4 linked regions of the Elephas maximus indicus genome follow. The protein of the gene in region 3 interacts with the protein of the main gene of each other region in a pairwise test. Links are inferred from orthologs where the notes say so. Each region holds a gene or a part of one and is shown on either strand. Other genes may lie near its edges.

The links.
Region 1: the proteins of STK16 (region 3) and MIIP interact in binary tests that used the Homo sapiens proteins (3 or more experiments, as listed by UniProt). The two-hybrid records come from large-scale screens. The link is inferred for Elephas maximus indicus from reciprocal best matches to the Homo sapiens genes STK16 and MIIP.
Region 2: the proteins of STK16 (region 3) and PLSCR3 interact in binary tests that used the Homo sapiens proteins (3 or more experiments, as listed by UniProt). The two-hybrid records come from large-scale screens. The link is inferred for Elephas maximus indicus from reciprocal best matches to the Homo sapiens genes STK16 and PLSCR3.
Region 4: the proteins of STK16 (region 3) and SAXO1 interact in binary tests that used the Homo sapiens proteins (3 or more experiments, as listed by UniProt). The two-hybrid records come from large-scale screens. The link is inferred for Elephas maximus indicus from reciprocal best matches to the Homo sapiens genes STK16 and SAXO1.

The regions. Positions count from the first base shown.
Region 1 is NC_064821.1:51,870,228-51,878,215, reverse strand, and holds the start of MIIP (migration and invasion-inhibitory protein), read right to left. Parts: upstream 3,001-7,988; 5' UTR 2,914-3,000; intron 2,822-2,913; 5' UTR 2,688-2,821; intron 845-2,687; 5' UTR 752-844; coding exon 638-751; intron 399-637; coding exon 66-398; intron 1-65.
Region 2 is NC_064837.1:13,418,199-13,425,383, reverse strand, and holds the start of PLSCR3 (phospholipid scramblase 3), read right to left. Parts: upstream 3,006-7,185; 5' UTR 2,931-3,005; intron 2,811-2,930; 5' UTR 2,747-2,810; intron 2,737-2,746; exon of another isoform or gene 2,587-2,736; intron 2,374-2,586; 5' UTR 2,200-2,373; coding exon 2,193-2,199; intron 1,928-2,192; coding exon 1,692-1,927; intron 1,606-1,691; coding exon 1,563-1,605; intron 1,449-1,562; coding exon 1,228-1,448; intron 1,035-1,227; coding exon 873-1,034; intron 1-872. UniProt on the Homo sapiens protein: Catalyzes calcium-induced ATP-independent rapid bidirectional and non-specific movement of the phospholipids (lipid scrambling or lipid flip-flop) between the inner and outer membrane of the mitochondria.
Region 3 is NC_064824.1:117,833,317-117,840,996, forward strand, and holds the start of STK16 (serine/threonine-protein kinase 16), read left to right. Parts: upstream 1-4,675; 5' UTR 4,676-4,725; intron 4,726-4,729; exon of another isoform or gene 4,730-4,779; intron 4,780-5,067; 5' UTR 5,068-5,171; coding exon 5,172-5,257; intron 5,258-5,803; coding exon 5,804-6,023; intron 6,024-6,326; coding exon 6,327-6,460; intron 6,461-6,628; coding exon 6,629-6,749; intron 6,750-6,872; coding exon 6,873-6,968; intron 6,969-7,344; coding exon 7,345-7,466; intron 7,467-7,594; coding exon 7,595-7,680. Other genes in the region: GLB1L (beta-galactosidase-1-like protein), read right to left, coding at 1-46, 135-309, 401-495, 2,022-2,082, 2,268-2,418, 2,674-2,840, 3,017-3,073. UniProt on the Homo sapiens protein: Membrane-associated protein kinase that phosphorylates on serine and threonine residues. In vitro substrates include DRG1, ENO1 and EIF4EBP1. Also autophosphorylates. May be involved in secretory vesicle trafficking or intracellular signaling.
Region 4 is NC_064827.1:28,838,654-28,846,294, forward strand, and holds the start of SAXO1 (stabilizer of axonemal microtubules 1), read right to left. Parts: upstream 3,012-7,641; coding exon 2,991-3,011; intron 1-2,990. UniProt on the Homo sapiens protein: May play a role in the regulation of cilium length. Stabilizes microtubules at low temperature.

The sequences.
Region 1 (7,988 bases), on a different chromosome or scaffold from region 3:
TGTCAGATGGGGAAACTGAGGCTAGAAGAAGATCCCAACAATGGATGACATGCCACCCCAGTTACCTTGGATGGCTTGCTTTGTCGAGGAGTCAGGATGGATCTTAGGGCCTCCCGAGGCCCTGGACTGCCCAGCTCTGCTGAAAGCTCTGAATCATTCAAGTCCAAGGTGACCAACAAAGGTGCTGAGCGGGGCCTTGGAGGGCCCAAGGACTCCTGGCGTTGGCACTTGTGGGGTGGGAGAGAGACTGCCAGGGAGCTTGTCCTGCCAGGCCAAGCCAGATCACAGGTGCCATCTTGGTGGGCGCTCGGTGGGGAGGAGGCCCTCGAGGCCATTGAGGTCATCTCCCGTAACGATGGTGTCTCTGCATCGTGGCTGCTGCTGGAGTCCCGGCTTGACTGGAGAAGAGGGGCCAGGTCACCCAGGGAGTGGTCTGGCCCCAGGCCATCCAGAGCTGGCCTGAATTAGGCATGAAGGCCTTGGTCCTCATCACTGATCTGGCCTCAGCAGTGTCCTATGTCAGTCTCTTCTCTTGCTGGGCCTCAGTTTTCCCAACAGTAAAATGGACACATTGTACCAGAAGACCCTGGGCACCTGCATTCTGGCCTGAGGTTAGGCAGACCCTGCCTATACCCACCTTGGAGGCTGCCTCAGCCACAGACCGCCGCACAGCATCCTGTCCGGCCCACAGCTGCCTCAGCAGCTCCAAGTTGAGCTTTCGCAGCTGCACCAGGTCCTCAGTCTCCATCATCTTGGGTGTTTCATCGAGCTTCTCACAGAGGTATTACTGGCTCCTGGGCTGAGAGATGCCCTCAGGCCTGGGTTCCAAGCCCAGTTCTTCCACCTGAAGTCAAGACAGCACGATATGGGGTGAGTAGGGTGTCTTTCAGCCAGAGGCCTGGGTTCAAATCCCTGCTCTGATACTCGCTGTGTGGCTTCAGGCAAGTTATTTAGCCTCTCTATGCCTCAGAGAGGTTTACACATCTGCCAAACAGAGATGATAATAGTATCTATCTCATAAGGTTGTTCTAAGGATTAAACTCCCAAGTACAGTGCCTGGCACACAGTAAGCATTGAATTGTTGTCGTTTTTAGTTGTTTTCAAGTCATCTCCAACTCATGGAGACCTCACGTGTGCAGAGTGGACCTGCTCCATAGGGTTTTCAAGGCTGTGACTTTTCAGAAGCAGACCGCCAGGCCTGTCTTCCGAGGCGCCTCTGGGTGGGTTCAAACCACCAACCTTCTGGCAAGTAAAAAAAATCAAAAACCAAATCCGTTGCTGTCAAGTCGATTCTGACTCATAGCAAACCTATAGGACAGAGTAGAACTGCACCATAGGGTTTCCAAGGAGTGGCTGGTGGATTCGAACTGCTGACCTTTTGGTTAGCAACTGTAGCTCTTAACTAGGCAAGTACTCGAGTGCTTAGCCATTTGTACCACCCAGGGACCACATATTCAATAAACATCTATTATTATTAGAGAAAACTGTTCAGGGTGTGTTTCCTTACCCACCAACAGAGAATAATCCTCCCCTGACAGCCTTAACTACGAAATCAGACTAGCTTAATTTGTAGAAACCACCGCCTGTCAGTTTGTCACACTGTGGTGGCTTACATGTTGCTATGATGCTGGGAACTGTGCCACCGGTATTTCAAATACCAGCAGGATCACCCGTAACAGACAGGTTTCAGAGGACCTTCCAGACTAAGACAGCCTAGGCTCTATTTCTAAAAATTAGCTCGTGAAAATCTTATGGATCACAACAGAACACTGCCCAACTTGCTTCCTTTGGATACATCATCAGGTGGGATGAACTGCTGGAGGTGTACATCATGTTTAGTAAAGTAGAGAGACAGCCAGGGAGAAGACCCTTGGTGAGATGGACTGACACAACAGCTCAGTGACAGACTCAAACATGCCAGCAATTGGGAGGATGATGCAGGACCACGCAATGTTTTGTTCTGCTTCCATAAGGTCACCATGAGTCAGAGTCAATTTACGGCAGCTATCTAACTGTAGGAAACAAATGCACATGTAAAGCATTATAATTCCTGAATCCAACAGAAATCAGGCTCCTGGGGACTCTTCCCTCCTTCTTAACCTTTTTTTTTTTTAACAGATGAAGTGACCAAGGTTCAGAGAAGTTAATCTATCAGCCCCAAGTCACACAGTGAGCAGCAAAGTCAGAATTCAAACCCAAATCTGGCTCCAGGTCCACGGTCTGCCAGGTGGCAGTGTAGGGAGGTACTTGGGAAGCCTTCTACTCCCAGCCTTTGGCCACCCAAGGATGCAAGATCAAGAAGGGAATGCTCTGGAAAGGATTTCTGCAGACTGGGGAAGGGGCTTCCCACTTCTCCCTCTCACAGCTCCAGACTCAGACTCTTCCAACCAGAAAATGTCTCCCCCAGTGCGCACCATGCCATTTTAATACTGCGCCGGGTCAGGCATCCTGCTCTCAGGGACCCTGCCCCCGAACACTCCCACCTACACTCCCCCCCCCACCCCCGGGCGCACTGCAAGGGCTGGGGCAGAGAAGTCAGATGTGCACGGAAACGCCCCTCTAACGTACACAGGCCCCGCAGGGAAGGGAGTCAGTGGAGGGGCAGACACCGGGGCAAGCCGCCTGGTCCTCAGGGCTGGGAGTCCCTGCCCCCACGTTTAAAACGATGGAGCTACGCTGGGCCGTACCCCTATGGTCCGAGGGCCTTCGTTTTCGCAGGATGTTAAAGAGAGTCGCCTGCGCAGCCCTCCTCCCGGTTCGGCCGCGTCAGGAAAGTTACAAGCAGCGCCAATTCAACAGAAAATGATGTTCAAAAGAGAAACTGGGGGAAGAAAAGTCAAAGAGAAAGCGCTCGCGGACGCAGAGGCACGACCCCAGGTAAGGGGGCGGTCCCCCGAACCTCCCGGTACTCACGTGGGACTCACAGCCGAGGCCCGCTCCCTCACTCACCGCCCGGAAACACCAAACTGCGCAGCCGTGGCAGCCCCTGCTGCAATGCGTTCTCCCCGCCCCGCCCGTCCCCAGCCGGGGGCGGGGCCCGCGCCGGCAGTCCTGATTGGACAAATGCGAGTCTCTCCGCCAAGCGTTACTCGGCGTTCTGAAGAGGCAGTTTCAATCTTCGGGCGAGGCCAAGAGCCACGGCCAAGAGCCGATTGGTCAACTTCCAAGGCCGGTACTGGCGGCAGATTTTCGAAATGGGGCGGGTCCCGGAGGGGGCACTCCGATTGGTCAGGCGCGAGGCCGCGAGCTACTTCGCGTTCTGCAGCTGTAGTTTCAGTCTAGCGGCGTAGGAGGCCAGGCCTGGGCTTGGTACCGGTCTTGGGTCGCAAGCTGTGTCATTCGCCGGGGCAGAGTCGTAGGTGGCAGTTGGCAACCCGTTCTTTCATACATAGTACACTCATCCATTCGTATTTATCGAGTGTGTACTCTGTGCCCCCAATGCATTCATTCTTTAAACATATATATCGGGCGCCTGCTTTGTGTCAGGAGGCACTGTACTAGGCACTGGGAAGCAGAAAAAAAACAAGAAGAGTCCCTGCCTGGGGGATGGGGAAAGGCAGTGGAAAATATGAACACAAATACCTATAATCCAGACTGTAAAATATGAGCAGACATATACTGAGTGCTACTATGTCCCAGGTATTTGTGCTAGATGCTTTTCGAATGCCAATGCATTCTAGCCTCAAATAAGCTCCAAGATGGGTATTATTGTCCCCATTTTATAAAGGAAAACAAAACCAAGGCTACTAGAGATGAAGTTAGTTGCCCAGAAACCCACAGCCAATAAATGCCAGAGAGAACTAATTACACCTCAATTTAAAAAAAATTTTTTTAATTAAAAATAATGGTACATGCAGTCTTTAAGATCTGCTCCTATCATCACTCTCTGCCCCTAGGCCAATAAACAGGGTCAGGTCTCCCTGCCCTGTCCAAGCACAGAAGTAAAGCCTTGCTTACACATCAAAGAAATTGCAAGACCTGGCTAATATGTCAATAAAAAACAGAGAGATATGTGTGGGAATACATCTTGAAAGTATTGGGTTTGGGGGTGGCAAACCTAAATCTGAATGGGGGAGAATTATTGCCATGGGCCTTCACCCGTGATTTGGGATCCAATCTTCTGATAAGGGCGCCTGGAGCTGGCTGTGACAGTCTGTTGAGATGGCCCCCTGCAATCTGGACATGGTGGTGGTTTACAGCAAATGAAGTAAAGATACCAGAATTTCCCTAGCATAGTATTGAAGGAAGAGGTCGGAAGTCTCAAGGTGGTAGGTGCAGCGAGTGCACTAAAAAAGGCATGAGGCAGGCTAACCCTACTTTTATGACTAACTGCATGAGAAGGATCAGCATGAATCCAGTGCTCAGCTGGGAATAGATCGTGGCCTCACCTTCCCACATCTCCATACCTAGTCGCCAGCCACTTCTGTGGCAACTCTCTCTGACCCTAACCACCCAGAGTTAGATCAGACCTCATCCCCAGGCACCCTGAGGCTAGGTAATCAGAGTAGACTCAGGAGTCTGCCCAACTCCCTGCATGTCAGACCTGCCTGTCTTTCTCTCTCTCATCCCCTGGGACTAAGTCACAAGCTAGAAAGAGTCTGTCCTTCACTGACTGTCCTTGCAGCCTTTCTCTGTCACCCAGCCACCTGGAGCTTGGTCTACACAAATCAACTCTGTACGGCTAACCCCTACTGACTCATTATCCCTGTGGGTTCATTAATTCTCTGTAATGGCTCACCAAATTCAGAGACTATTATTTACGTTTCACCATTTATTACAGTCAGAAAGGATAGAAGCGAAGCAATGCATCTGACAAGGCTAGGTCTGGAGAAGTCCTGGCACCAGGAGGCTTCCATTGTCCTCAGGGACGTGCTGTACCCTCTCCCATGCACAGATGTTTCCACCAAGCCAGGAAGCCCCAAGGAGAGAAGCTCCAAGGTCCAGGGTCCCCCCTAATCATTAGGATCTCAATGAATATGCATAACTGGGGCCTGAATGCAGTTATGATCAATCCAAGCAATTAATACACATGACTGCATCATGCTCCCGCCCTTCCTGAAGTTGGTTTGCCAGGTATGGGGCCTGTGTAGCCCCTACTTATTTATACATATTTAAGTATACCAAACCAAAAAACTCATTGCCGTCGAGTTGTTTAAGACTCAGTGATCCTATAGGATAGAGTAGAACTGTCCCATAGGGTTTCCAAGGCTGTAAATCTTTATGGACGCAAACTGCCACATCTTTCTTCTGCAGAGCAGCTGGTGGGTTCAAACCACCAACCTTTTGGTTAGCAGCCGAGTGCTTAACCACTGAGTCACCACAGCTTCTTATATTTAAGAATAGCCTGGCTATGTTAGAAAGAAAGAAAGAGCACCTTAATTGCTCAGGGTATTTTCAAAAACCAAATCATATACAAAAAGCCAAATACATACCGAATCATTGTTGTTGTTAGGTGCCATCAAGTTGGTTCCAACTCATAGCGACCCTATGCACAACAGAAGGAAACACTGCCGGGTCCTGAGCCATCCTTACAATCCTTGTTATGCTTGAGCTCATTGTTGCAGCCACTGTGTCAATCCACCTCATTGAGGGTCTTCCTCTTTTCCACTGACCCTGTACTCTGTCAAGCATGATGTCCTTCTCCAGGGACTGATCCCTCCTGACAACATGTCCAAAGTATGTAAGATGCAGTCTCGCCATCCTTGCCTCTAAGGAGCATTCTGGCTGTACTTCTTCTAAGACAGATTTGTTGGTTCTTTTGGCAGTCCTTGGTGTATTCAATATTCTTCGCCGACACCACAATTCAAAGGCGTCAATTCTTCTTCAGTCTTCCTTATTCATTGTCCAGCTTTCACATGCATATGATGCAATTGAAAATACCATGGCTTGGGTCAGGCGCACCTTAGTCTTCAAGTCTTTGCTCTTCAACACTTTAAAGAGGTCCTTTGCAGCAGATTTACCCAGTGCAATGCGTCTTTTGATTTCTTGACTGCTGCTTCCATGGCTGTTGACTGTGGATCCAAGTAAAATGAAATCCTTGACAACTTCAATCTTTTCTCCGTTTATCATGACGTTGCTCATTGGTCCAGTTGTGAGGATTTTTGTTTTCCTTATGTTGAGGTGCAATCCATACTGAAGGCTGTGGTCTTTGATCTTCATTAGTAACTGCTTCAAGTCCTCTTCACTTTCAGCAAGCAAGGTTGTGTCATCTGCATAACGTAGGTTGTTAATGAGTCTTCCTCCAATCCTGATGCCCCGTTCTTCTTCATATAGTCCAGCTTCTCATATTATTTGTTCAGCATACAGACTGAATAGGTATGGTGAAACAATACAACCCTGATGCACACCTTTCCTGACTTTAAACCAATCAGTATCCCCTTGTTCTGTCCGAACGACTGCCTCTTGATCTATGTAAAGGTTCCTCATAAGTAGAATTAAGTGCTCTAGAATTTCCATTCTTCTCAGTGTTATCCATAGTTTATTATGATCCACACAGTCTAATGCCTTTGCATAGTCAGTAAAACACAGGTAAACATCCTTCTGGTATTCTCTGCTTTCAGCCAGGATCCATCTGACATCAGCAATGATATCCCTGGTTCCACGTCCTCTTCTGAAACCGGCCTGAATTTCTGTCGATATACTGCTGCAGCCATTTCTGAATGATCTTCAGCAAAATTTTGCTTGCGTGTGATATTAACGATATTGTTCTATAATTTCCACATTTGGTTGGATCACCTTTCTTGGGAATAGGCATACCAAGTTCTACCAAATACAAAAGGCCAAATCATGTTCTTTGTCCCACAGTAGGAATATATGAATAGTTTACCATGTTTTCCTTCACCCAAAGGACATTCTCTTCACTAAGGCAATAAGAAATGTATCATCAAGGGGAGGTGGACTGGCATCTTTGAGAAGTTCAGTGGTGGCTGCTCTGTTCACTGATGAGGAGAGATGCTGTCATGGAACTGGGCTCCCTCAGATCAGTGGGGATGATAGGATTCTGGTATGGCAGAGGCATAACTGTCAGAGGCAAGACAGATCATAATAGACAGCAGGGGTGGAGCAGCAGAAAGAGTCCCTAGACCCATGGGATCTGTGACAATGGCCATTAAATCATGATGTTCCTAGGAGTCACATAGATGAACAGTCAACTAAGATGTTCCTCAACTTGAATAATTAAAAAATTGAGAACTGGCTAGCCAAAAGTTGACTTCTGCTGCAGCAGTGGAAAATGATGGTCCCTCATCTCCTTCCCATATATGTTCAAGTCATTTCTCAGATTCTGAGCTCACTGATTGAAGGGAAGGCCATGCCAGATGTGGAATCTTTACTGGAGCAGAACCACATAGCCTCTGGTACTTGGTGTGCAGTTATTATTACTCTGTGTAATATGCTCTTTTCAATTGCCATCGGTAGGGAGGAACAAAAGCAGTTTCCATTCACACAGTGGGGACAGCAGTAGACATTCTGTCCTGCCCCAGAACTATGTATACTCTCTTTCATAATACAGTATAGTCAGTCCATAGGGACTTTGATATTATGCATAAATACTGATGTCCCTACTAAATCTATGGCATCAAGCTACTTGGACTTAGTGAGTAGAATGTGACTAGCACCCTAGATGCTCCTAGGAAGCCACATGTGTCAGATGGCAGTAAATAAATCCCACCATTTTTAGCCCAGTGTCTCGAGCATACTGGAACATCCCTCTAAGGTGAAAGACAGATTATGGCACCTCCCCTCTCCACCTACTAAGAAAAAGGAACAATGCTTGGAGGGTCTCTTTGGTTCTGAAGGTAATATATGTTACCCTTGGAATACTCTCACAATCCTATTTTGGGTAACTTGGAAAGCTGCTAGTTTTGAATGGAGCCCAGAGCAAGCAAGGGCTCTATAGAAAGCCAGGCTGGGATGTAAGCTGGTGCTACAAGTATTCATGGTAGATAAGGAGGCTGTATTAAGTCTCTGGAAAGTCTCTAAAGTAGAGG
Region 2 (7,185 bases), on a different chromosome or scaffold from region 3:
CGCAGTCCCAGGGTAGGCAGGGCCTATCCCAACCAGTCCTATAGTCCCAAGACTGTAACCTCAAATATGGACCATTTATAATTACGTAAAAGGGAGACTGGTCTAATGAGAACTGACAATTAACACATTCCCACCCAGAGATCACCTGGCTCCCATCACAGAACCTCCCCTGGCTACCAAGGTGACTCAGTTTTTAAAAATAACTTTAGGTAGGTAGGGTACCTCATCAGAAGCTTTGGAAAGTCTGTTAGATTATACCTATTGCCTCTCCCATATCTGCAGAGATAATTATCCCTTAAGGAACTCAAGGGTCTGTGGGGTGACCTTCCCTTCTAGAAACCAAGGTGTTTCTCAGGCCTCACCCTGAAACTGTCACCACTTGGGGTCTCCAGGTTCCAGGCTGGTGATAGGAACCCACGGTGGGAAGGGTGTCACCTGGATTCCAGGTTAGAGAGGCCATTTGGCTTTCTAGGTTGGTGGGCAAGCCAAAGGATGCTAATAAGTCAAATCAGTGCTCGTCCCTGGGCATAGGCTCACAAACTGACACACAGCAGCTATACACTCAATAATCATCTTTCCCCCTAAATCCAGGCTGGCATCAGATTTTCCTCAACACAGAGCTGTAGATAACAATCAACATTGGTTCTTAAGATGAAACCCTCTTTGACATGCCTTTTATAAGACCACTGAGCCATCCTATTTCAGAATGGAAGAAAACTGAAAAGTAGTAGGAATCACAGTGGATTTGGATTGATGAGCTCAGAGTCTTGACCTTAGCATTGGCCATCCTGCCTCACAGAGGCTGCCATCTTGGATCATGGAAGTTGCCATCTTTGTTTATGAAAGTCTCAGGGAGCTCCCCTTCCTGATACCTCAAAGTTGGTGTCTGTGCCACAGCCACAGGTCCAGCAGGGCCCCACCACCCGAAGGACAGTCTGGCGATCAGCATCCTGGATGGAGAACTTGGGGAGAAACGGATGCCAGGTCTGTAGTACGTGGCCAATGGTGGTGCCCGGTGGAGCCTGTATTTCCATCTGGGATACAAGGCAGACAGGGTCACTGCCAAGCCAGGGTTGCCTGGTCCAAGCTCCCACCTAGCCCTCTCACTAGACTCTCCCATCCCCACAAGCCCATGCCCACCCGAACCACACCCCATCCCTGACCCCACCCCACCATGGCCTGTTCCCCTACCCCAGCCTGTCCTCTACCCCACCCCTCCTCACCCACCTCCTGGAGGCCGCAGGGGCAGCAGCCGCAGCCACAGTGGAGCGGACGTAGCAGGCGCAGCACTTCGCGGTCCCCGGGGTCCACCAGGCGGACACGCAGCGGCCGGCGGGCACCACAGCACAGGCGAGCGCAGCAGTTGCTCTCCTCGGCCGCCTGGCCCAAGGGTTGCCCTGCCCCCGAGCGCAGTTCATACCGGTTACAGGTTTCCCAGCCTAGGAGCCCTGCCAGGGAGTTACAAGAGTCTTGTTGAGGCTCAGGCTCCGATGCTGGCCCCAGAGCCCGCCATCCCTGCCTGCATCACTAGGCCCAACCTCCTCTGCCGCTGCCCCACTCACCTTGCACTCGCTCAACCTTTTGGTGAATCAAGATCTGGTCAATCTAGAAAGAGTAAGGGCACCGCCGACGACGTCAGCTGGCTCGCCTGGACGCCGGGCCCCGGTCACCCCTCCCTCTCTCCCACTTACCTGCGCCAGGAATTCGAGGCCAGGAGGCACCCCGGGCAGTGGTAAGAAGGGGGCAGGAGACCCCGAGGCCAAGGGGCCAGGTGAGGGGAAGAGAGCGAAGCCTGGCGCGGGGCTGGGCACCTGGGCGGGCACCGGCGCCTGCCCGGCCCCAGGATGCAGCGCCGGCTCCGGGTATCCGGTGGTCACAGGGTAGGGCGGTGGAGCCGAAGGGGCGTAGCCTTTGGGGGGCAAGTAGCCTGTGGAAACAGGGGTCGAGATTAGAAAGGGCCCAGGAGCCTCATCCCCTCGTCTTCAGCCCGTGGGCCACGAGGCTGCGGGGTTAAAGTGGTGGGGAAGACTGGGAAAGATGGGGCGGGGGAGCCGGGCGGCGGCTCCCCGGAGGAAGGGAGGGGCCCACGTAGCCAGTCCGAGCACATTCCCGGAGGATGTGTTCGACACCCGGCTCCCAAGTCCGCGGGCTGGGGGGGATAACGGAGACCCCCCAGCCCTGCGCCCACTTACCTGCCATGGGACAGGGGCGGGGACCCAGGGGATGTCGGTGTCCGCGCGGCTTAGTTTTAGAAGTGGAGGCAGGCTCGGAGACAGCCAGATAGACACAGAGACAGACACAAAGACGGACAGGCAAACGCGCAGAAGCAGCTGTGCCCGGCGCTGGACCAGGGTCTCCGGGCGGCACCTCTGACTTGAGGAGAAACCGAAAGTGTCAGCAGGCGGGGCGGGGTACCTGGGACCCTGGATTCCCTCCGGGGCCCCAGAACCGCCCCCTCCCTTTGTTCTCCCATTCTCCGTGGAGGTGGCCGGATACGGGCAGCAGGACAGATGGGCCCGCGCACGGTCAGACCGACGACCCGGCCTCGAGAGAAGCCTCCCAGATCCCTCTGTGCCCCATGCTCACCTGAAACCCCCAGAATTGCCTGGGTGCCAGGCTCGGCCGCTCTGAAGAGCTAGTGGAGGCGGGCCCTGGATCTGACCCCGCCCCTCGACCAGCCCAGGCCCCGCCCCTGCCGGCCTTGGCGGCGCGCCTGCGCAGAGAAGACGCACGCCGGCTCTCCTACCCTGCAGCAGAGTCCGGACCGCGCGCTCCTGGCGTCGCCGGCGTCCCCGCCTCTTCCGCTCCGACTGCAGATGTGGGGAGGAAAAGCGGCTGGAGAGGGAAGCCGGCTGAGACCTCAGCCGCGCGACCCTGCCAGGCCCGCGGGCGCAGAGCGCTCGGCGCCCTCTGGTGGGGACGCGGGCCACCTGCACTGCGCTCCCGGCCTGGCCGTGCTAGACTCCGGGCGCTCCGGGGCTCGCTGACGCAGCGCAACACGCTTCGCACTCCTTCTTTAGCTCTGCGGCCGGCTCCTGCTCCCTTTCTGCTTCCCCGGGGCTGCCTCGCCACCTCTCCTGGTCAGAGCGAGGCCGGAGCGCCGCGGTGACCCACATACACCCCTCGCAATTACTTCCCTCAGGCGCTCCCAGCCGAGTGGGTGACAGGCTGCCAAAGAGTGTCATTAATGAGTGTGCCTGAGGTGAGGCTCAGAGGCCCAGAAGAGGAAATGCGGTCAGAGGAGGCGTCCTCCGGGAGGAGTCAGTCGTCGGGCTTCGGAACCCAGGCCCACATGTGTGAAGAAGTCCTGCGCCTTTGGGGCCACGGGCTGAATGGCAAGAGACGAGTTTAGAGAAGAAGGCCAGCACGCGTGCAGAGGGCCTCGTGGGAGCTGGGGCTTGGCCCCAAGGACATCAGAGAGCCCCTTGAAAAGATCTTAAGACCGAGGGCCCCTATGGGTCAGAGCAGAACTGCCCCGCAGGGTTTCCAAAGCTGTAAATCTTTAAGCCGACAGCCACGTCTTTTCCCATGGAGCTACTAGTGGGTTTAAACGCTGACCTTTCGGTTAGCAGCTGAGCGCTTCACCACTGGCCCCAGGGCTCGTAAGACAGAGGGAGAATGTCAAATTTGTGTTTTAGAAAGACCGTTCAAACAATGGAGAACAGGAGGCACTCAGGCTGGACTGTTGGCTGTAGTCTGAGGGAGAAACGATGGTGTATTGGGCAAAGGTAGTAGACACAGACGCTTAAGAGATATTTAGATGATAATGTAGGAATGGTTGGTGAGTGAGATGTGGAGGTGAGGAGTCCCGGATGACTCCAGGTGCCTACCTGATAACCAGGCAGACGGAGATACCACTCAACAAGGTGAGCAAGGGGAGAAGTCAGTTTGGGGAACTCCTGCCCTGTGTCAGCCCCTCACCCGAATGCCTGACCTCTCTACTGGTATCCCTTAATACTTCAGACTCTACCAAATCACATAAACATTCAGAAATTCAGAGAGTCAACAAAGATTTATTGAGCACCTACTATATGCCTATGAGTTGGAATCGACTAGACAGCAATGGTTTTATGTGCCAGACAGCGTTTGAGGTGATAGGAATATATAGCAGTAAACAAAACGGACCAAAATTTCTGCCTTCCTGGAGCTCACAGTCTAGTGGAGAAGAGACAGATAATAAATGCATTTTAAGTCAGATGGTGACAAGTGCTATGAAGAAAACTAGACCAGGATAAGGAGGGTCAGGAGCGGTGGGCAGGAGTTTTGATTTTAAATAGAGTGGACCAGGCAGGCATCACAAAAGACAGTAGTTGAGCAAAGACCTAAAGGAGGTGAGGGGTTAAGCCACGCAGACTTCTGGGTAAAGAGAGCTTCAAGCAGAGGGAACAGCGAGGACAAAGACCTGAAGGCAAAAATGTGCCTTAAATTGTTCAAGGAAAAAAATAGAGGCCAGTGTGGCTGGAATGGAGTGAAGGTGGGCAACATGGGTTGACTTATGTCCCCCCAAAAATAGGTGTATCAATTTGGCTGGGCCATGATTTTCAGTATTGGGTGGTTGTCCTCCATTTTGTGATTGTAATTTTACTTTAAAGAGGATTAGGGTGGGATTGTAACACCCTTACCCAGGTCACATTCCTGATCCAAAGTAAAGGAAGTTTCCCTGGGGTGTGGCCTGTACCTCCTTTTATCTCTCAAGAGATCAAAAGGAAAGGGAAGCAACCAGAAAGTTGGGGGACCTCATACCACCAAGAAAGCAGCACCAGGAGCAGAGTGCGTCCTTTGGACCTGGGGCCCTGTGCCTGAGAAGCTCCTCAACTAGGGGAAGATTGATGACAAGGAATCTGCTGACAGTGAGAGAAAGCCGTCCCCTGGAGCCGACACCCTGAATCTGGACTTGTAACCTACTAGACTGAGAGAGAATAAATTTCTCTTTGTTAAAGCCATCCACTTGTGGTATTTCTGTTACAGCAGCACTAGATGACTAAGACAGAGGGGGAGAGTGGTAGAAGGTGAGGTCAGAGAGGTCACGGGAGGGTAGATCACATATGGCTTTGTTGACCAGTGGTTTATACTCTGAGTTGGATTGGGACTGTTGGAGGACTTGGGCAGAGAAGTGATGTGAATAGTGGTTCTCCACCCTGACCACATTCTATGTTATCTGGAGTGCTTTAAAAAAATACCTCTCCCTGGGCCCTACTTGTTATATAAATGAGCCAAAGGAGGCCCCTATGTATTGGCCCTAGGCTGTTTATTTCTTCATAGCAAACTCAGGCCTGTTAACCCAAAAAGCCTGAGGGCATCAAACTCATATTTTTACATATCTGTTGTTTTTAAAATAAGCAGATTTTTAGCCACTGAGACCCTGACTGCTTTACATATCCCCCAAAATGGCACCCACCATCTGCTAGCCATAGATAAGATAACCAACCAAAACAAACCCATTGCCATCAAGTTGACTCCTGACTCATGGTGACCCTACAGGACAGAGTACAACAGCCTCATTAGGTTTCCAGTGAGCAGTTGGTGGATTCAAACTGCCAGCCTCTTGGTTAGCAGCCGAGCTCTTAACCACTGTGCCACCAGGGCTCCAGATAAGATAAAACCCTGTAGTTATAAGGACCCCAAGCTGCTGCTGCCTTTTGGAGCTCTTTGACTTAGAGACTCCCCACCTTAGTGCACAGGAACTTAACCTAAACATATAGACACCCCCGTTCAATCCCCCCCTCCCCTGGGGAGTTTCCCTGTCCTCTTCCCCTTCTGGTGGCTCCTTGCACTGCTTGCCTCTGGAGTGCCTCCTGCTGCAGGGGACTGCCCCCCCCACCCCCTCCCCAACACATTTGAGCTGTCCAATACTTTGGGCTCCAATAAATAGCTTGTTGTGCAACACTGCTATCTGGTGGTCATATGTTTTTCTCTGATCCACGCTGAACTCTCTCAAACTCAAAACACCACTCCTTAACAGTTAAATTAGAATATCTAGGGGTGAGGGGCAGATGTAGGCATTTTTTGAGAACTTCCCAGCAGATATTAATATGCAGCAAAGGTCGAGGACCGCTTTGTTGAAAAGATCTCTCTCTGTCTCTCAGGCTGCTTTGTCGAGGGTAGACTGTAGATAGGCAAGGGCAGAAGGAAGTTACTGCAAAAATCTAGGTGAGATATGATGATGGTTTGGACCAGGGACCAGAGTGGTAGCAACAGGGGTGGTAAGAAACGGCCAGATTCTGTTTGAGCCAACAGGGTTTGATGATGGCTTGGATGTGGGATGTGAGAGAGGAAAAGAAAAGTCAAAGTTGACTCAGGCTTGAGGCCTGAGCAGCTGAAAAGAAGAGTTGCCATTTACTGGGATGGGGAAGGCAGCAGAGCAGGGGTGAGGGCAGATCAGGGATGGGTGCGGGCATGGCCAAAAGAGCTCTGCTCCTCCTCTTCTCCCAGTTGGGTTACACTAATCATTTTTAACCAGTTACCCCAGCTCAGTCACCCCGTCCCCTCTCTCCCAATCATCTTGTATATCCCCATCTATCCCATCTGTGAGGTGCCTCTTGAACCCTCTCCCTTCTCTTTACCCACATCATCAATGCCAGCACCAATTGCTGTCAAGCTGACTGTGACTCATGGTGACCCTGTGTGTGTCAAAGTAGAACTGTGCTCCACAGAGTTTTCAATGGCTGAATTTTTTGGAAGTTGGTAGCCAGGTGCCATGGATTGAATTGTTGTTGTTGTTGTTACGTGCCGTTGAGTCGGTTACAACTCATAGCGACCCTATGCACAACAGAACGAAACACTGCCTGGTCCTGAGCCATCCCTACAATTATTGTTGTGCTTGAGCTCATTGTTGCAGCCACTGTGTCAATCCACCTCGTTGAGGGTCTTCCTCTTTTCTGCTGACCCTGTACTCTGCCAAGCATGATGTCCTCCAGGGACTGATCCCTCCTTACAACATCTCCAAAATATGTAAGACGCAGTCTCACCATCCTTGCCTCTAAGGAGCATTCTGGCTGTACTTCTTCTAAGACAGATTTGTTCATTCTTTTGGCAGTCCATGGTATATTCAATATTCTTCACCAACACCACAATTCAAAGGCGTCAATTCTTCTTCCATCTTCTTTTTTCATTGTCCAGCTTTCACATGCATATGATGCGATTGGATATACCGTGGCTTCGGTCAGGAGCACCTTAGTCTTCAAG
Region 3 (7,680 bases):
GGTTCATACTTCCGAAGCTGGTTAAAGATTTTGGTCATGTTGTCGGCTGCAGAAAGGAGGCAGAGGTGAAAGATAAACATTATAGAAGAGGTGCCCCTTCCCCTGACCATATTCCTACCCCTTGCTTAGGAGACCTGGGCCAAAATCTACAGTGGTATAGAGTCCCTGGAGGGTGCCACATTTGAGTCCTTCAGGCCCATCAGTGGTAAAGAGCAAGATCTTGTCTCCCAGTATTGTACGGAAGAGCCCAGCCAGGTGCCTCATGTAGCTGAAATCACAGGCCTTATAACTACCATATTCATTCTCCACCTGCCAGGAAGAAGGGAAAAAGGAGTTCAGTGAGGAGGTTAAGGACCTCCTACACCCCCTTTTCCTTGCCCAGTCAACTTTTCACTTGTACCTGAATGCTAATGATGTTGCCCCCATTGTGGTACAGCCATGGATATATCTTGGGCAGCAAGACATGAAACCAGGAGTCCACTGCAGCAAGGAAGTCTAAAGGAAGAAGCCGCGCTCTCTGAGCCCACAGTGCTCTGCTCATTAGGGGCTACCACAACCTCTGCACACACATACACAAACACACCAACCAGCGTCAATACTAGCAACTTCCATGCTGACTATACTTGGGGCTGCAGTCTCCATCTGACTTATCTGAACCAAATCCATTGCCGCTGAGTCGATTCCGACTCACAGTGACCCTACAAGACAGAGTAGAACTGCCCTATATGGTTTCCGAGGAGCAGCCGGTGGATTTGAACTGCTGACCTTTTGATTAGCAGCCGAGCTCTTAACCACTGTGCCACCAGGGCTCCTCCATCCCACTTGCTGTTGTTAGGTGCCGTCAAGTCATTCCTGACTCATAGCAACCCTATGTACAACAGAACGAAGCACTGTCTAGAACTGCGCCATCCTCACAATCGTTGTTATGCTTGAGCCCATTGTTGCAGCCACTATATCAATCCATCTAGTTGAGGGTCTTTTTCTTTTTTCTTGACCCTCTACTTTACCAAGCATGATGTCCTTCTCCAGGGACTTGTCCCTCCTGATAACATGCCCAAAGTATGTGAGATGAAGTCTTGCCACCCTTGCTTCTAAGGAGCATTTTGGCTGTACTTCTTCTAAGACAGATGTGTTTGTTCTTCTGGCAGTCCATGGTACACTCAATATTCTTTGCCAACACCATAATTCAAAGGCATCAATTCTTCTTTGGTCTTCGTTTTTCACTGTCCAGCTTTCACACGCAATATGAGGTGACTGAAAAGGCCATGGCTTGGGTTAGGTGCACCTTAGTCCTTAAAGTGACATCTTTGCTTTTTAACACTTTAAAGAGGTCTTTTGCAGCAGGTTTGCCAAATGCAATGCGTCGTTTGATTTCTTGACTGCTGGCTTCCATGGGTGTTGATTGTGGGTCCAAGTAAAATGAAATCCTTGACAACTTCATTCTTCTCTCCGTTTATCCCACTTATACATAACTAAATCTGGGAAGCACTGACTGACTCTTGTCAGAAGAAACTCAACCCTAAGCACTCATATATTTGCATATCAATGGAATTTCAACATAGGAGACCTTAAAGCAGTGTTTCTTACACATTTGTTTTTTTCCTGTAATAAAAATGTTAAATACATCTTAAACCTTATAGAGCTATTATTATGTAATCAGCTTATGCCTCAAATTGCTATAAAGTGGCCTGTGAATTCACAGAAATGTGTAATGTGTAACCTGTACCCTAATGCACTGTCCGGTCGATTTTAGCCATCAATTGAAAGATCCCTGGTTTACATTAGGTAAAAAAGGTAGCATGCCTTAAATTCTCAACTCCTACTTGTGATTTCTGTGATTCACTCTCAGGTCTTCATGCATGTTATTACTTCTGCCTGACATTTTTTTTGTCCCCACTTCCTTCATTTGGCCAATTGCAACTCATGCTTAAATTATAGCTCGCTTCCTCAAGAAAACCTTCTCTGATACCTGAGCCAATTGTTGTTTGCCTTCTTCTATTGAATCTTCTGTCTCAACTCACCTGGATCTGAGGTTCTCAGATGAATTTTAGGTTTTCGAAGCAACCAGGATGGGAGACCCCCCTGAGAGAAACATAAACACAAGGAAGAGTGTAGGTTTTGTTGTTTTGGGGTGGAGTGGGGGAGGTAGGAAGGGAGGAAGTTCAGTGCAGTGTTGGAAGTGGCCCTACAGTATGGGCAGAAGGGAGTTGTCTAGGAATCATACAAGGGTGGCTTTGGTTCTTCTATCCCTTCTCCAACTAACTCACCATCTCCCACTCTGCACAAATATAAGGTCCTGGTCTCAGTATGACCAACAAGTTCGCCTTATTTGCCTCATTCAGAAACGCAGTGAGGTCCCGGCTGCCATTAAAGTTATAGACCCCAGGCTCTGGCTCATGGTAGTTCCAAGGCACGTAACTGGAGGAAAGAAGAGGTTAACAGGGCCCAAAGTGGAGAGATACCAGTGAGGCCTAAGGGCTCAGGCTCTGCAGGAAATCTCCAGGAAGCAGTTGGAAAAATGTCCTGGCCCACCCTTTCCCACCCTTGGCCTGGGAGCCCTGGTGCTCCAACCCCTCTCCATCCTGTGCCAGTCTTTCTGCCCCAAGCTTCCTCCTAAGGGGGTGGTACGAAGGGTAAGCCCCGCCTCTCCACGGCTCTCTGAGCACTTCTTACAACTGTATGGCGTTAAGGCCGCTCATTCGCATTTTGAAAAGCCGGTCTGCCCAAAGCACCCGCGGTACCCGGAAGTAGTGCAGGCTGCCAGATACATAGCGGAACGGAACCCCGTCCAGGAGGAACCGGTTATGATCCCGATCCACTACGAAAGACCGAGTGTCTGCCTGCAAATTAAAGTAGAGACGCTGCTCAGCAGAGGTCTGCAGTGGGGATCAGCGTCTGCCGAGAGCGGAGAATATGTAAATAGCCCCGCCAGTTATTATTTTTACTTTCCCTACATCCGCCGAATCTGATCCGGCCTCATCGAACCCGGCAGGCCGGCTCAACCCTCTTATCTTACCTGGGGCAGCAGCAGCGTCAGGAACGGCAGCAGCAGAGAGAGAAGGCAGGGCGGCATCTTGGGAGCCACGGCGCTTGCAGGGCTCCTAGTTTTGAGACTGAGGTCCAACCGTCACGTGGGATTCCTGGGAGGGAACCTCAGTGAGCAAGGGGGCGGAGACCACCCCAAGTTGCCAGAAGATTACCCTGGACTTTTGTCTCCAGCCTGCAGCCACCTGCCACTCTACTAGATTGTAAAATCCTCTATATCTTGCTACTCAAAGTGCAATCCATCGGACCAGCTTCGTCAGCATAACCTGGGAGCTAGTTAGAAATACAGAATCTCAGGTCCTTTCTCAGACCTATGGAACCAGAATTTGTATTTTAACAACATCCTCAGGAGACCCTAAACACATTCAAGACTGAGAATCACAGCTCTACTAGAATAACTCCCTAAAGGCAAGCAGTGCCTGGTCCATCTTAAATCCTCCAGAGTGGACACACAGCAGGTTAAATATAGACGAATGAATGTCAGAACCAGGGGCTAACGCCTGTTCAGAACTAAGGGAAACCTCAGACAATCTTCCCCATGATCGGGGTATGAAAACGGAGAACCAGGTTACAAAAGGGATGTTTCTCCTGGAAAGCCCTGTTTGAGAAAAAGGGTCCGTCCTGGCCATTCATTCCATCTTATCCCCATCCCACTCTCCCAGTTCATCCCTGCCTGCCTGAGCAAGAGATTTTAAGAATAACTGCTTGGTGCCAAGATTTGGGAATTTGTCAGTCTCCATTCCTCCTGCCCTCACAGTCCCAAGCCTGGGATGTGAGGACCAGGGTAATTAGTAATAATTACCGTTATTGTTTTTTTTAACACTTACTGAAGGCTATGTGTTAGATATTATGCTAAGCACTTCATATCTCATTTAATCCTCAAAGAACTCTGAGGTAGATAATTATCATCCCCATTTTACAGATGAGGAAATTGAGGGACAGAAATATTAAGTAACCTGTTCATAGTTACACACTAGTTCAGTAGCACTGGGATTTGAACTCAGCAGTCTGGCTTCATGGTTCAGGCAGGTAACCATAGGCACCATACAACCTTTGGGACTACGGCCTGTATCCCAGATGTTCGCTGTGCAATGAGATAGAAAGGCTGAAGGATAAAGACTAGGGAAAGTGAGGCTCAGAGACGTTAAGTAACTTGCCCGAGGTCACACAGCTAGTAGGCTGTTCAGTTCGGATTTAGACCCTGGCAGTCTGGTTCACGAGTCTGATCTTAACCACTAAGCCTAGAGTGGTGGGATCCGGGCCAGAGCCCTGGAGGTTGTGTGGCTTCAGAGCTCACAGCTCCAGCAGTCCAGACCTCGAGCACCTGCTTCTCCCTGTGTCCCCGGGTTGTACAGTAGACGGCCGCTTTCTGGCCCCAGAGCGCGGGAGGTATGAGACCCCCTACCTCGGGCATTGGGAGATGGAGGTCCTGGGGGCCTAGGGCCGGGCCCGGTTTTGCTCCCCTTTGGCTCAAGTGCCTGCGTCTTGAAGGCCAGGTGGGACCCCTCGCCTGGGACCCGTCCTCCCCAGGCCTAGCCTGCCCCGGGCTTCGCAGCGCGGCGCCCCCACATCGTCCGGGTGCCCAGCGGTTGCTATGATACCGCGGGCCGTTATGCCGGCGCGGACTGATGATGTAACCACTGTTTCCGGCCGCTAGCGCGTCCCTGTCGCCCGAGCCAGGTCAGTGGGGGGCCGGGGCTGGGGGACCCTGGGCTCTGCGCGCGGTTGCCGAGGGTGGGTCCTAGAAGGGATGGGTCCTGGAAGGGGTGGGCCCCAGCCTCGCACCTCCCGCGAACTGCCCTGCCTTGCCTTTACGGCCCGACGGGCGTGGGAGCGGGGGCCGCCCAAAGGTGGCCTGAGGTTGGCGGAAGCGGCGTGGTAGTTGTTACGTGGCCTGAGGCTTTAAGGCACCTGACCCCAGCCTTGTTGGAGCTGGTGTCGCCAGGTCCTCAGATCCAGGCCTCTGCTTTCCGCATTGGTACCTCAGGGGTCGTCGCGACTGTTCCTTTCTGTTCTTTACAGCATGCTCTGCTGGGCCCTCAGTGCATGGCCTGGAAGAGCCCACTCATCCTGAACGAATTCTTCTGCAGCCTCAGACCGTCTTTGAGGAGGATGACTGAGACACTATGGGCCATGCGCTGTGTGTCTGCTCTCGGGGAACTGTCGTCATTGACAATAAGCGCTACCTCTTCATACAGAAACTGGGGGAGGGGTGAGTGTTTGGAAATCACTGAGCGAGTTCCCAGATTATGGTGATTGAAGGACACCAATCCATACATGACAGGGGTATAAGGGTTTTAACTCTGTCCTCTAAGTCACCTAACGGGGCCTAGCTGCATGGTAGTCAAAAAGGTGAATTCTGCAGCCAGGCCTCCTAGATCTACCTTGTGTGACCTTGGTAAGCCATGGTTTTGTCATATGCTTGATGGAGATAATCATGTTTCGCTGATGGAGTTGTGAGGATTGAGATGATGTGTATAAGAGGGCAAGCCCAGTGCCTGGTCCATAAACACTTGGTAAATGTTGGCTGTTATTCATTTAACATTTATTGAGCATCTGCCAAGTACAGAACTCTGTGTTACGATCGTAGTACCTCAGAAATGACTATGTCGCTGTTCTCGAGGAGCTCAAAGTATGATAGTCTTCAGATGGGTTTCTACTAGTTGGGAAATACAGCCTTCTTCCCCCAGGGAATTCTTCTGGGTGCAGGCATTGCGGGAGATGACCGTGGTCCTTCACTGACCCCTTTGGCCCACAGTGGGTTCAGCTATGTGGACCTAGTGGAGGGGTTACATGATGGACACTTCTACGCCCTGAAGCGAATTCTGTGTCACGAGCAGCAGGACCGGGAGGAGGCCCAGCGAGAAGCAGACATGCATCGGCTCTTCCATCACCCCAATATCCTCCACCTCGTGGCTTACTGTATGAGGGAGCGGGGCTCGAAACATGAGGCCTGGCTGCTGCTACCCTTCTTCAAGGTCAGAAGGACTCTTGGATGTGGAGGGGGTTGCAATAGAGCCACTTACTAAGGGCTGTGTGGGCAGTCAAATGTGTAGGAAGCAGGGACCATGTCCTGGGTTTGGCCACTCAGATTTGGGGTTTAGAGGAACCCCAGTGGGACACATGGAGCTGCCATGAGTCAGAATCGACTCAACGACACTTGGTTTGGTTTTTTGATTTTAAGTGGGACTGTGGGATCTGAGGTGTGTGTGGTGAACAGGTTGATAGGCTTTGACAGAGCGAACAGAAGGCTCAGGAAAACTGGGGAAATTGTGTTGCAGAGAGGTACGCTGTGGAATGAGATAGAGAGACTGAAGGACAGAGGCAGCTTCTTGACTGAGGACCAAATCCTGCTGCTGCTGCTGGGTATCTGCAGAGGCCTTGAGGCCATTCATGCCAAGGGTTATGCCCACAGGTCAGTGGGAGGATCCCCTACTTACTGGGCAAAGAGGAAGAGCCTCACCAAAAGAAATGGGAAGTCTTTGCTCTCCTTTCAAGCAACAGCCCCCATGATTCTTTTGTTCCTTGGGATTTTGGCCTTACTGTCCAGGGATGCTCATGATTCACTCCCACTTCACTATAGAGACCTAAAGCCCACCAATATCTTGCTTGGAGATGAGGGGCAGCCTGTTTTAATGGACTTGGGTTCCATGAATCAAGCACGTATCCACGTGGAGGGTTCCCGCCAGGCCCTGGCCCTGCAGGTGAGTCTCCAGGTTTGTTTGTCCACCTGTTCCCCATCCTCAGTCCCTTCTGGGGCATGCCCCAATTTGGTCACATGACTGTGGCCTGTGACCCACTTTTGAGCTCTGGGGCCACTGTTCCAGGACTGGGCGGCCCAGCGATGCACCATCTCCTACCGGGCCCCGGAGCTCTTCTCCGTGCAGAGCCACTGTGTCATTGATGAGCAGACTGACGTCTGGGTGAGGAGCATATGGCTGGGAACCTGGGCAGGGGAGGATTGCTGCTCTGTACTCACTGTGCAGTAGAGGGTAGATCTGTGGTTTCTACTGCATGAGGCCCCAGGAACCATGGTATGTCCCCATCCTCCTTGGCTTCCTTCCTGGGACTGTCACAGATACTGTAGTCAACTGCTCAGGAAGTGGTATAATTCCTGCCCTTGAGCAGGGTGGGTACAGCTACATGTCAGGGCTAAAGACAGTGGCTAAGCAAGAGATACAGAGGCCTCCAGATAAGTGGCAGTTTCTGTGGGCCCTGATAGTGCCCTTTGACTGAGCAGCAAGGGATGGGTCTTACCTCCATCAGTTCCCTTCCAGAGAGTAACCCAGGTATGCTCAGTCCCTAGGCTGTGTGCTGTATGCCATGATGTTTGGGGAAGGCCCTTATGACATGGTGTTCCAGAAGGGTGACAGTGTGGCCCTTGCTGTGCAGAACCAGCTCAGCATTCCACAAAGCTCCAGGTAAGCAATAAAAGGGACACCAAGTGTTTCAGACACCTCCCTCTGGTGTTAGCTGCGCTGGGGCCTTAGCAAGCGGGGAATGGGTTGCCCTCCAGTCCTCCAGTCAGCCTGCCTTCCTCCCTCTACAGGCATTCTTCAGCATTGCGGCAGTTGGTGGCTTCCATGATGACTGTGGACCCCCAGCAGCGCCCTCTCATTCCTGTCCTTCTCAGTC
Region 4 (7,641 bases), on a different chromosome or scaffold from region 3:
CGCTTCCTCATTATGTTTTTATGTTGAGAACATTGACTGTAAACTATCATTAACCACGGCATAACTGCACGTCCCCAATCTCACATAATCTTACAGCCATTGACTCTGTGTGAAAGAAAAGTCTATTTTATTCTTCCCAAAAAAGGCTCGAATTTAGTAGCTTTTTTTTTTTTTTTTTTTTTTTAAGAACACTGGATCTCCCCTCTCTTCCTGGGATACATTTCCCAGTCCCTGTGCCCATTGTGACTATGAACCAAAACAAAAACAAACATTGGTCAAAGACGTGAGTTTCCTTTCAGAGTAGGTAGCTATAAAGGTTATACAGTATGGAAGGCCAAGAGTTAAACTCAGAGTTAAGTAAAGGCTGAAGTGGCCCCACTGGGGAAGTCATAACAACTGGACATCGACTCATTTGGCAAAGCTAAAGAAAGGTGCTAGACAAGAGTCGTCTGACAAAAGGAAGAAGGAAATAAGGACAACTAAACCAGAGTCATGACCCTGGGAGCCAGAAATGGAGAATTTTCACACGGATAAGATAACAGGACCAAGCAATACTTTTGTAACCTATTTTTAATGTTTATCTGTACAAATTTAAGAATTTGCTAGTATATTCAAATAATCAATCATATTAAGATGGGATCAATTTTTTTTTAACTTTTATTGAGCTTCAAGTGAACGTTTACAAATCAAGTCAGACTGTCACATATAAGTTTATATACACCTTACTCCATACTCCCACTTGCTCTCTCCCTAATGAGTCAGCCCTTCCAGTCTCTCCTTTTGTGACAATTTTGCCAGCTTCCAACTCTCTCTATCCTCCCCTCCCCCCTCCAGACAGGAGATACAAACACAGTCTCAAGTGTCCACCTGATATAATTAGCTCACTCTTCATCAGCATCTCTCTCCTACGCACTGTCCAGTCCCTTTCATGTCTGATGAGTTGTCTTCAGGAATGGTTCCTGTCCTGTGCCAACAGAAGGTTTGGGGACCATGACCGCCGGGATTCCTCTAGTCTCAGTCAGACCATTAAGTATGGTATTTTTATGAGAATTTGGGGTCTGCATCTCAGGGGTTCTCTGTTGTGCTCCCTGTCAGGGCAGTCATCGATTGTGGCCGGTCACCAACTAGTTCTTCTGGTCTCAGGATGATGTAGGTCTCTGGTTCATGTGGCCCTTTCTGTCTCTTGGGCTCTTAGTTGTCGTGTGACCTTGGTGTTCTTCATTCTCCTTTGCTCCAGGTGGGTTGAGACCAATTGATGCATCTTAGTTGGCCGCTTGTTAGCATTTAAGACCCCAGACGCCACATTTCAAAGTGGGATACAGAATATTTTCATAATAGAATTATTTTGCCAATTGACTTATAAGTCCCCTTAAACCCTGGTCCCCAAACCCTCGCCATTGCTCCGCTGACCTTTGAAGCATTCAGTTTATCCCAGAAACTTCTTTGCTTTTGGTCCAGTCCAGTTGAGCTGACCTTCCATGTACTGAGTATTGTCCTTCCCTTCACCTAAAGCAGTTCTTATCTACTAATTAATCAGTAAGATGGAATCAATTTTAAAGAGTCCTTCCTCCTCTTGTCCAAAGCAAATCTCTTCACGCCTGCTCAGAGTCTCATCCCTTCCCTTTTTATTGAAAGCCTCATCTAGCAACCATCTCCTATCTGTGTTTTCACTTCTTCCTTCCTAGCTCCTTTCTCTCAGTAGGTAAACATGCTGCAGTCTCTCCCATCTTTAAAGGAAAAAAAACGAAGTAAGACACAACCCTCACTGGACTCCCCTGCCATTTCTCTCCCTCCCCTTCTCTCTTCTAAAAAGGGCTGTCTACAGGTGTGGACTCTACTTTCTCACCTCCCACTCATGATCCACCTGCCATAATCTGATTCTATTTACTCCTTGCTCTCAGCAAGGCCACCAAGTACCACCCTATTTCCAAATCCAATCACAGTTTCCCCATCCTTATCTTACTGCACCCTCTGAGTAGAATCCATCTTCTCAATCTTTTTTTAATATTCTCTCCCTGGACCTCTGCGATACTGCTCCTCATGATTTGTCTTCCTTCTCAATCTCCTCTATAGGGTTTTCCCTTTGTCTGTCAATGGATTTGATTTACATCATTTCCATATATAATTCTAACGCTTCCCAGGGTTAAAAGGCACCCTTCTAAGGAAACCATAGAAAACCATTTTGTCATCCCCAGCAAGTTGAGAGGCCTATCTCAGCACACTGAAAAAGATCCCCAGATTTGAATCACAGGGTTTGGCCGTGATCTTGATAGGACACATCGAGACTTCCTTATCCTCACTACAACAGATGGGATTTCAAGTACATGCCCTCCAGGATTCAAGTTTCACAGAGCCTGTCTCCTCCTTCTAGTCTCTCAACTCCTCAGCCCCACTAAGGCTGAGGCTGACATTTGCTTCACATAAACTCTGGACAAAATATAAAAACCACTACACGAAAGCACTAAAGAGCAATTCAAATAGGCAGATTCTGGAGGAAAGCCAATAGTAGAGGAAAGGAATGGCACTGAGAGAGTGTGTCTGTGTCGGTGTCCTTTTTTTCACAATTTCTAGCTTGAAGGCAGGCCCCAGTCTGTGCGATGCAGGACAGCTAATACACAAATAGAAAACCTCCCACCTTTCTTAAGAACCAGAGGACCATGCTTAAGGCAACCACAGGTGCTAGAAAGTGAGAAAGGAATTCCAGAAGACAGAGACTACAGCCTTCAGCATGGATCACACCTGAACATAAAGAAAACTAAAATCCTTACAACTGGACCAATAAAACCCATCAAAAACCAAACCCACTGCCGTCGAGTCGATTTCGACTCATAGTGATCCTATGAGAACAGAGTTGAACTGCCCCATAGAATTTCTAAGGAATGCCTGGCAGATTTGAACTGCTGAACTCTTGGTTAGCAGCCATAGCACTTAACCACTATGCCACCAAGGTTTCCTGGACCAATAAACAACACGATAAATGGTGAAGAAATTGAAGTTGTCATGGATTTCATTCTTCTTAGATCAATAATTAACGCCCACGGAAGTAGCAGCCAAGAAATCAAACAACAGATTGCAATGGGAAAATATGCTGCAAAAGACCTCTTTAAAGTGATAAAAAGCAAAGATGTCACTTTGATGACTAAGGTTCGCCTGACCCAAGCCATGGTATTTTCAATTACCTCACATGTGAGTGAAAGCTGGACAATGAGTAAGGAAGACCAAAGAAGAATTTATGTGTTTGACTGCCAGAAGAAAGAACAAATCTGCCCTGGAGGAACTATAGCCAGGATGCTCTGTAGAAGTGAAGATGGTGAGACTTCATCTTGCTTACTTTGGACATGTCATCAGGAGAGACCAATAGCTAGGGAAGGACATAAAACTTGAATCAGCAAAAAAGAGGAAGACCCTCAAGGAGACAGACTGACAGTGCCTGCAACAATTGCCTCAAACATAGAAACAATTGCAAGGATGGCACAGTATCAGGCAGTGTTTTGTTCTGTCACATATAAGGTCGCAGTGGTTAAAACACTTGGCTGCTCACAAAAGGTCAGCAGTTTGAATCCACGAGCTTCTCCTCGGGAGACACATATAGCAATCAGCTTCTGTAAAGATTTACAGCCTTGGAAACCCTAAGGGGCACTTCTACTCTGTCCTATAGGGTCACTATGAGTAGGAATCAACTCGATGGCAGTGGGTTTGGCATGAGTCAGAGCCGACTCAATGGCACCTAACAACAACATACTTAGCCATCTAAATCCACACCTAACTTCCTCGGAAATTTTCCAGGCAAGTCTGGTGCTGAGACCTTCTTCTTCATATCTCCATAAATTCTCAGGTCCAGTATATGGAGGGGAGAATAAGTCTACCCCCAGCAGCATAGTTCTGAGTAGGGAGTCAAGTACGTATTTCCACAGAAAATATATAAAATTCGATTGGCAGACTCAGGCCTGCTACCAATTTTCTTGCTTCTTTTATGGCTTTTGGAGAGGATACTGTTATGGATTGAATCGTGTGCCCCTAAAATGTGTTTTGGGATCCTAGCTCCTATACCTGCAATGTAATCCTGTTTAGAAATAGGGTTTCTTTGTTATGTTAATGAGGCCATAGCAGTGTAGGATGTGTCCTGAACCTATTCACTTCAGAGTTACAAAAGAAGCAGATGAGACACAGAGACCAGCACACACAGGGGAAGACAGATGCCATGTGAGGATTGCCAAGGGACCAAGGAACATCCAGACTACCGACAAAAAAGGAATCCACACAGCTGAGACGCTGATTTGGACTTTTAGCCTCCAAAACTATGAGAAAATAATTTCTGTTCTTTAAAGCTGCCCACTTGTGTTATCTGTTACAGCAGCACTAGGTTAACTAAAAGAGACACCAAATGCCCATTCTCTTTTAGCTATTTCATTTCTCGCTGTTATGGGTTGAATCATCTCTCCCCGAAAACATATGTGGTAATTCTAACCGCCTTGACACAGTGGCTGTAACAATGCACTCATGCATAAAAATGATTGTGAGGATGGCACAGGACCGGGCAGTGTTTCATTCTATTGTACATAGTGGTCGCTATAAGTCAGAACTGACTCAATGGCACCTAACAACAACAACATAGTTGTAGATGTAACCCCATTTGGGAATAGGGTTTTCTTTATTATGTAATAAGGCCATAACAATATAGGGTGTGTTTTAAGCCAATCACCTTTGAGATATAAACCAAGTGGCTTAGGCAGAGAGAAGCATGCAGAGACGGGGAAGATAGATGCCACACTATGTGAAGACACCAGGAACAAGAACCTTCCCCAGAGTCCACAGAGAAGCCTTCCCCTAGGGCCGGCACCCTGAATTTGGACTTCCAGTCCAGTATGATGGATCACTTTTGTATGGGCTTTCCAGCCATGGTCTTTTAACTCCCACCCAAGTGATTAGGCGAGACTGTGTGATAGGGTAATTGTGGCCCACCAAAGGGATTGGTCAGTTTTACCATCCTGCAGGGCTTGAAATGAGCCACCCCAGAGGCAGGAGAGAGAGGATCCTACCATCACCAAGAAGAACAACCAGGAGCAGAGAGCATGTTCTTTGTACCAGGGATCCCTGCACTGAGAAGCTCCTGGACCCAGGAGACAGACAGCTGTAACACTAAAGACACTGAGAAGTGGTAGCAGAGAAACAGTGACAGGAGGGACTGGCAGTAGAGGCTGATAAAATCGTGGGTTTCCCAACCCATGGAGCGAGGAAACTGTCTTTGGAGAGAGGCCAAGGGCCAGGGAGAGGTGTGCCTGGGAGCCTGACTGGGATGTGCCTGTCCTGGTAGAAGAACTGTATCCTGGGCATTCCTGAACCTGAATTTTAACATGTTACTTCCCTAATCAACCCCATAACTGTGGCCATTGCAAGGAATTACTGAACCCAGTAGAGAAGTAGAGAGTGCCATAGGAGGGACTGTTGGTGTCAGAATCAGTAAAGATGGTGGAGAGAGAAGGCATGTCTGACCTCTGCCTCATGGGAATCACCTTTGGGCTGTTGATCTTGATTCTCCTTCCCCCTTGTGAAGAGGGAGGAGGCCAGACTCTGCCCCATGCCATTTTTACCTCCAGCCTCCTAAACTGTGAGAAAATAAATTTCTGTTTGTTAAACCCATCCACTTGTGGTATTTCTGTTGTAGCAGTGCTAGATAACTAATATACTCATTTTGCTCAGTTTACCGAAGAGCCATGTCATTCAGTGAAGAAGACTGTTCTACCAACTCCCTGCCCTCTGCCTCCAGCCAAATCCATTAAGTCTGAACCTGATTCCACCATCCTCCCTGCACCTCCATCCCACCATACCCACAGTCCCACTCCCTTTAGGATAAAAATCTAACACCATCTTGTAAGACTCACCTCTTTCTTCTGAGGTGATTCATTTTGCCCATCTTTAGGGAGCTGGCTTAGCTAACAGAAATAATGTCCCAAAATGAAGCCCAAGTGTTTTACATGGTGACATGCCTAAAAGGAAATGAGGCCTGAAGTACAAACTTCTTATTCATAAATTAAACTCAGGCCTATCTGAACTCAAGGCAGATCCTATCTGAGAGAACTACCAAGGGCTGCAAGAAACAACTTCACACTAAGAAGGGCTGGAAACGATGAGCATTCCCTTCATGGCACCTGCTGTAAATCCCCAAGATTTATGGTAAGAGTTGCATGCAGCTGTAACCATGCCTCATGCTGGGATGATAACCTTTCCAGAAACCAGGTGTTTTTTGTGTCTGGGCTTAATCATCAAACCCAGCCAAAGCCCTGAGCCACATGACTTTTTCATTCCGCAGGTGGAAGCCCCAAATTCAACCTCAGAAAATAAGCAAGCGACAGCCGTTGGATAGGGAAGTGGGTACAGCGTTCTGGTAAAAGGTTCTGAGGGCCAGAGGGGTGACTCTGTGTAGACACAGGGCTAACCTATCCTTTTCCCCAGCCATCCTTAGTGGGGCATCTGACAGCTGGGGCATAACTTTTGTTCTCAATCTTTGAAAAGTTAGTGCCCAGCATGGCAGGCACAGAGTTGAGAAACAGTGACAGTAAGTTACAGGGGAGAGGAGATGCCCTCTGCCCCTTGGTTCTTTTTCTGGAGTAGGAAATAAAGGAGTTAAGAGAGAACAATTTCCGCTCTTTTTCCTCACCACCAGTAACCTGGTTCTGCCACTTTTTCTTTTAAAAGTCCTGATGATTATTAACAGAGGAGCCCTGGTGCCTCAGTGGTTAAGCCCTCAGCTCCAACCAAAAGGTTGGTAGTTCGAACCCACCAGCTACTCCTCAGGAGAAAGACGGGGCAGTCTGCTTCCTTAAAGATTTATAGCCTTAGAAACCCTAGGGAGCAGCTCTTCTCTGTCCTACCGGGTCACTGAGTCAGAATCGACTCAACAGCAGTGAGTATGATCATTAACAGCTTGTTTTGGAAATTCCTTCAACATCTGCATTCCTCCACTTTGACCACATCTTGATGTGAATGATATTTATTGTTACGCTGGCTCTGGCGGGGCAGAGGGGCCTTCTGGGTGATATGTTTATTGTTGTAAGTGACACAGGGCAAGGATAATTTAGGACAGGTCAGAGGGTAAGTTTTTATTTTGCAAAGAACCAGCGGGGGGGGGGGGCGGGGAGGGGGTGTGGAGCTCCATCTGGGAGGCCTCAGAGCTGGGTGATGGGCAGGGCTCCTGCCAGAGACAGTGTTTGTGCTCACTCTTCTAAGCTTGTGGGCAACAAATAGAATTGCCCAACATCCAACCCTCAAAGCATCCTTTTTCTGTATTTCCAAGACAGAAAATCTGTCCCTAATATAGCAACGTCTGAAGCTGTACTGTGCTTTATATTCCACAAAGACCTCTTGATTTCCTGTGAATTGGGTATAAAGAGTTGAGAAGACCAGCTCCTAGAGGCTGAACCTGAAGGACAAAAGTCACTCCTCACCATTACACCTGACCTTTTCTACCAATCACATGCCTACCATACACGTGCCTGGGGCTCTTCATTTGCGTTGGCCATGGTTTCTTAAAAGGAAAAGCAAATGCTCAGGAACGTCCACACCTCTTGTGGTCTTTAAAACCAGTTACTATCAGGTTGATTCCAACTCATGGTAACCCCGTGTGTGTCAGAGTAGAACTGT